Linked DNA regions of Kluyveromyces lactis. Each later gene encodes a partner of the first gene's protein in a complex. Links are inferred from orthologs where the notes say so. Each region holds a gene or a part of one and is shown on either strand. Other genes may lie near its edges.

Region 1 (3,734 bases):
ACAGAATGATTCAATGGGCTGAAAAATATCCAACAATACAGTTCGAAATAGTAAGAAAGTCTGGCCATCCAGTTATAAAAGGTGACTATGTTAATGGCCGTAATAAAGCCATCTGCGTAAAAAATCTGAACATTGATAATGTAGAGAATAAGTTAAAACTAATCAGAGACGCATCTGGTGAGCAACTCCGTCACAGAACTAAGAACGACAATGTGGATACTTTGAACGATAGTGTGAGAGGTATCTGGTCTCCACTACATTTAAGCCCAGCCATCAGACACAAGGTTTGAATCGAAAAAATGACTTGTGAATGGTAATATCGAGATCATAGCTTAACTTGTACATATATATAGCAATATCCTCGATGAAGCCGATACCTAAGTAAACAACCTACGATGTTGAATATTACTACGCAATTAATAAAAAAGAAGATCTATACTAATTTTTCATTTACTATATTATATGATATTATCGTATATTATATATGCAAAGGGCTCCATTCAAGCTGATGCTTTGTATTCTCTAAGAACCACGGGAACAGAAGATGGTGGCAACGAACCAAATTCTGTAATGATCTTCTTGATGTAGTCAGGGGGTGTTAAATCGTACATTATATTGAAGATGTGCAAATTAGGTGATTTCTCCCACTCTGCTAGTATTGGTTTATCCTTGACATTCTTACCTTCGTCGGCAGTAGCATTATTGGTATTAGCACTGCCAGATTTATTATTTTGCTTAGAGCTATTCTCGACTTCCTTCTGCTGCGCTTCACGCTCTTTGATAAATTGCTGTAATAAGAACCCATTGTTGTTACGTCTCTGTACAGGATTAGCAGAGTCAATGGTTACCAAATCGTTTGGATCAGCAAGTTCATTAGATGTGACACTATCAAGCTGTACCCTTTGAGAGAACTTTAAAGACTCACAGCATACAAGTACAGGAATATTTCTTCTGCTTGCCAACATAGCGATCTGAGCAGTACCGACTCTTGAATATAGGAAACCATTTGAAAGAATCGAATGCGCTCCCAAAAACACATATTTGATATCCATATTGAATACGGTACCCAATGCTGTAATGGGAACATACAAAACATTAAGACCTTGATTTCTCAAAGATTCTGCCATTTTACGACCCTCAAACAAAGGTCTACTGTCCACTATAACAATTTGGAAGTTCTTACCGAAATTTATGGCGTTGTGTAGGAATAAATCAGTTAAAACCTTGGAACAGCCATAGGTCAATATAGTGCTGCCTTCTTCAATATGTTGTGAAGCTGTTTCAATGATAAGTTGATCAGCCAACTGCACTCTTTCTCTAGCGAACTGTGCAATCTTATCACAAAGTTCTTTTTTGGCCTTTGAATCCGGTGTTGAAGGATCGATTAGAGAGATTTCTTGCTTCAACCATCTAATGGCATTACCCATGGTTACACTCAATGGTCTTGACTTCTTCAAGAAATCAATTTGATGGGACAGGTAACTTGTCAAATTACGTGAAAGAGTAGTACCTTCTGGAGTCTTGTAGTCTCTGACAACCAGTTGGAATGCCTCTAACATGGCAATACAACGAGGAATGGAACCTATAATTTTATAGAATGCATAATCCAAAGTCAGAGAGGTGATAGCGGGATGTAACATTTCGCGATTGGCAATCAATTCTTTTACAGAGGCAATCGATTGTTGATTTGTAAATTGTGAAGTCATGGTATTTGGAATGACGGATGATATTCCTGGGACAAATGAAGACGATTCATCAAGGGACAAGGAATTTAGCATTTGATGGGCTTCAAAATCTTCTGAATGAGCCAAACCTGCCAAATTAGTATTGCTTCCAGAAAGGTTTGAACTCAAAGGAGATGCAGACATTGGTTGGGAAACCGCAACCGCGGGTGTAGTAGCAAGTAAAGGCAATACTAACCCATTAGCAGTAATCCTTGAGGTACCTGTAGAAGTGATAGCACTCGAAACTGCAAGTAAAGAAGCTCTTCTTTCTTCAGCAGTCTCTAGATGACCAAATAGAGTCGACTTCTTGGTATCATGTTTGACCGGGTCGGCTGCTTTATTCTTTTTTGCAGCTAAGAGATCTCTTTGTTGCTGCTTCTTTTCACGCTTAGCAGCAGCTTGCTGCTGCTGTTTTTCAATAGAGATACCACTAGCTTGCTTACTGGCTGCTCTCTTTGCAGCCTTCTCCTTCTTTTTCAGTTCCTTCAACTCTTTATTAGATAAAGGTTTTTCTCCTTCTTGTGCATTTGCCGTCTTTTCAGTATTAGTTTCTTTCCCTGAAGCCTCCTTAGCTCCTCCTGTCATTATTGGTGATTTGATACCTCAAAGTATACCGTTATTTGCCAATAGATTTCCGTTGGATCACAGGAACTGCGAGATCATCGATTGGTATTTATGTCAGCTTTTGAATAATTTCACCAAAATTGAAATTCTTAAAAAGAATGATGGAAAACTCGTTGACGGTGATTTCCTTGCAGATCGAACAAACTCAGTGCCCGAGTTGGCTAGCGGGAGTGACATGGTACCAGGCGCTAATTGACGAACATTTACTCAATTTGCGATGAATCCGTGACGGCACATCAATAATTATATAATAGAAGTATATTGTGTGAGTTTCTTTATGAATTATGGTCATTTTGTTAATGTTTTTTGAATTTCTAGTAATATTCTTAACTGACGTTGATTCTTATATATATATACATGAACGGTTCTGGGAAATATTGGTTACGGATAAGTCTATCCTTTATTTCGTTTCTTCTGCTTGTGCATCTGCATGAGCTTCTTCTGTCGTTTCAGATTCAGTAGCCTTTTGAGTTAACAGCTGTTTGTATTGGGATACGTATTTGTCGTAAATGTCAGCAACCGAGTTTTGCGCTAAAACGGCTTGATAGTTTTCAACAAACTGTTGCAGCTTAGCTTCAGTTGAGCCGAAGTCTAATGCTGTTCTGCTCAACAAATACTGGGTGGTGTTCTTTGTCAAGAAAGTCCTTAATTGATTTTGGCTTGCAGTGCTAACATCGATCGATGGCAAGTTAATTTCAATATTTCTAGCGAAATTAGGTAATTTCACCTCAACGTTCTGTTGTCTACCCAAAGCTTGAACAATTTCCTTTGTTAAACCAGTTGTATCTTCTCTTTTGGTAACAGTCGATGATAACTTCCTTAGGCCTCTCTCTACCATGCCGGAATCTTGAACGTTTTGGAACGCATTTCTATGCAATTGACACATCAATACAGTATTATACCATACATCTACGTTATAGGCTTCTAATTGCTTTGCTTTCACCAATAATGGCTGTATTTGGTACAGAACATTCAAAACTGCTCCTAAAGCACCAAACTTGAAAGTGGAAGTTAACAACATGTTTTGTAGATGCTGGGGAATCAAATAACTCCAGAACTCTTTCCTTCTAGGTGTGATATTCTTCCAATCTCTAACCATGTTTTCCAACTCTTCAGCTGACGATGCGTTCAATATGACGCTATTGAGAACTGATGCACTTGGTCTTAACACTGATGGTCTAGGTTGAATAGGAAGTTTAGTTTCTGGATCTTTCAAATCCATGGCCAACAAACGGTTAGCATTCTTTTTGCGGTAGATGTATGGTCTTAGAGTCTGTGGTGTCTTGACAAATTGTAAGAAGTTGTCAAAGACCGCACGAGACTCTACACCAGTTGAAACCGATCTTGTGAAAAACCGAGAGAACATTCGCTGCTTTGACTGTTATA
Region 2 (2,769 bases), on another chromosome or scaffold:
TAGTTTATTATACACGTTTAAATGAAATACCCGATGTGCTAATGTTACTACATAGAAGTTTCGTTTCGTTGTACTTTAAAGACTTTTCACTCTTTTTTCAAAATAAGGATTTATGGAGCTTCCCTTTATTATTATAAGAAGAAACTAGAAAAAAGGAAAATGGGAGTTTCCTAATGTAAAAATCCTTTAAAACGTCCAGTCGTAATCGAATGGAAAGGCTGACAGTAATTGGCAGATACCACCTGTTCAAATGCTAGAGTAGTTCTCTGCACAGTCAAGTGGAAACATAGGTTTATTACCTGAACATCTGTTAGAAAATGGCCTTTTGTTTTTGTTTCATCTTCATCAGTAAATATAATGCAATGTTAAGTGAAGTAAGAAATGGAGAGAGGACATGCAAAGACTTATAGGTATCGAAACGCTGTATACACGTATAACAACAGGAAGCAGTAGAAGTATATCTTTTTAATTCCTTTTTTTTTGGTTTCACTTTAAACCATCTATTCGTAATCGGAGTCTTCATCTTCGGAATCTGATCTACCTTCTAATTCCTTGGATTCTAATAGTGCTTGTAATTCAGCATCTTCAGTGGCGGTGACAGCCTTTGGAGCCATTGTGACATTACAGACACCATTGTACTTTAGAATGACTTCTTCGATCTTTGCGATAGCAGTTTCCAATAGTTGAACACCTTGATCTTTGTCCAAAGATTGGGTGGTGATGACGTACAATGGGGCAGCCACCAATTTGACTTTGATTTGCATTTGTTCAGTGGACAACTCTTCAGCAGATTTTAGGGCTTCTTTGATAGCATCAATACCCTCGTAACTGAAACATGAAACCTCGACATCTGCTCTGATCTTGACCGCTTGTGGGGTCAATCTTCTGGTGATTTGGCCCTTCAATTCTTGGAAAATTTCGTCGCTGATAGATTCAATACCATCCCAAACGTTAGGGTCCACAATGGACATCTTGTAGGCATCGTAAGCATGACCGTACTTTCGACTTAAAGGCCATGCATAAGCTTTGTACAAATCTTCCAATGATACTTGGTATTTCTCAGCACATTGTCTCAAGATGGAATGTACGGCCTTGGACTTTTGGTATCTTTCTTCACATTTGATGACATCTTCTGCAGAAACACGACGCTTAGACAAATCAATATAACCCTTCTCCTTATCCACTCTTAATACAACGACAACTTCATTCTTACCAACACGAATCAACTTTTGGATAGATCTAATACGTCTTCTTGACAATTCAGATAACAAAACCATACCTTCAATGTTGTCATATTCCAATAATCTAACGTAAGCACCCATTTCAGCGATTTGTTGGACGTTTACCATCACAACATCATCAACTTCAGGGAACTTGTTCTCGTAAAACCTACAATTGGAAGTGGACATCCTGCTCTGTATATCTAATGGCTCTGATGATAAATTCTTGTGTAATTTTTCAATTGGAAGATATACCACAAACTCAAAGAAAGTATACTCTGTTTGTAATCGTTATCTATCGCAAGATACAGATAAATTAAATTCCTCGGTATCAGAGACTGCTCGCGTAAGTTCGAAGCTTAATTGGAAACCTTTGTATACCGATATTGAAATTGCTTTGTTGCTTCAATATTGTATATGCTTTCCAATGATCAATCTTTTCAATTTTTTGATACTTCGCATCACAGTTTCGAAAAATTTTTAGATCTGCTCGTTAAGAGTGATGTACTACACGTGACCTAACTATTATAATTAAGTTTCATTACTTACTACTAATGGCCCTCAGGTATTAAGCTGCAGAGATACTAACTACCAGTAACCCATACTAGATGCGATCGTGCTAAGAAGCGCCAGAAGATTGATTTTTTAGCCTCGTTTTGATTGTTTTGATGTGTGCGAATCTGCGAGACCATGTAGAACAGTGTTCTGACGATACGGACTCGTGCCAAATTTGTGCGAATGTGTTTGCGACAGTACATAAATGCCTGACATACGCTGCGAGGCGCTGCCTATGCATGATTTTGAAGTGGGATGTAGAGAATATACCAGGAACTTCTTTTGCTCTGTAAATCTTCACCTTATAGAATTCACTCACAGAGTCTTTTTCATCTTTGCCGTTCCACATTGGTTTGATGACAAGGTTTATGAAATTGAATTGACTTTTGATTATGTCAAACGGGAACGAGTCCTGTTTTCGTTCATCGTAATATATGTTGATAAAGTTATTACCAACGTGTCTTTTTTTCATTGTTCGATCTGGATCTGCTTTGTCGTCGTTAGGCATTAGGGATACAGTATGGAACACGATTTGACATTTTTGATCATGCCAGATCAACGCGTACTCTCCATCTGTACCAGGATTCAAACCGCCGATGTAAAAAGTTTCATTTTGATCAAGTTTTATTATTGATCCGAGTTCGTTAACAAACCATTTGTATTGATGGGATCCATCCTCCATAGAGTGTGACAATATATCCTTTTCAGTTGTGTCATTGGGTCCCATGTATAGCAATCCAATCTTGTGAAATTCGACCACTGGGATAGTATCAACAAGCTGAATAGACTTTATCAAGTGGGGTTCTTCGATCCGAACCATGTCTTCGTACGTATCTTCTGCACTAAATTGTGCAAGAACATACCCTGGCGTGAACATATTTGCAGAGGCGGGTTTGGTGTTTTTACCAAATTGGAATAAATCAAAACTGTCAGGTTCCTTCTTTACTATGGGATCCACATTGAAGATGGAATTTCCGGATGCACCTCTAGTGAC

Evidence for each region.
Region 2: the proteins of GCD2 (region 1) and SUI2 are in contact, whole or in part, in a cryo-EM structure (PDB 6I7T), measured with the Saccharomyces cerevisiae proteins. The link is inferred for Kluyveromyces lactis from reciprocal best matches to the Saccharomyces cerevisiae genes GCD2 and SUI2. Residues at the interface, in NP_011597.1 of Saccharomyces cerevisiae: Lys376, Glu377, Lys378, Leu381, Ala382, Gln384, Leu385, Glu631, Phe632, Glu646, Tyr647, Ala651; in NP_012540.3 of Saccharomyces cerevisiae: Arg57, Ser58, Ile59, Gln60, Leu62, Ile63, Lys67.

Annotation. Positions count from the first base shown.
Region 1 is NC_006042.1:773,700-777,433, reverse strand, and holds GCD2 (translation initiation factor eIF2B subunit delta), read right to left. Parts: upstream 2,310-3,734; coding exon 501-2,309; downstream 1-500. Other genes in the region: MRPL51 (mitochondrial 54S ribosomal protein mL43), read left to right, coding at 1-290; mitochondrial 37S ribosomal protein mS44 MRP13, read right to left, coding at 2,749-3,714. UniProt on the Saccharomyces cerevisiae protein: Acts as a component of the translation initiation factor 2B (eIF2B) complex, which catalyzes the exchange of GDP for GTP on the eukaryotic initiation factor 2 (eIF2) complex gamma subunit.
Region 2 is NC_006037.1:1,020,166-1,022,934, reverse strand, and holds SUI2 (translation initiation factor eIF2 subunit alpha), read right to left. Parts: upstream 1,410-2,769; coding exon 501-1,409; downstream 1-500. Other genes in the region: KLLA0_A11792g (uncharacterized protein), read right to left, coding at 1,840-2,769. UniProt on the Saccharomyces cerevisiae protein: eIF-2 functions in the early steps of protein synthesis by forming a ternary complex with GTP and initiator tRNA. This complex binds to a 40S ribosomal subunit, followed by mRNA binding to form a 43S pre-initiation complex.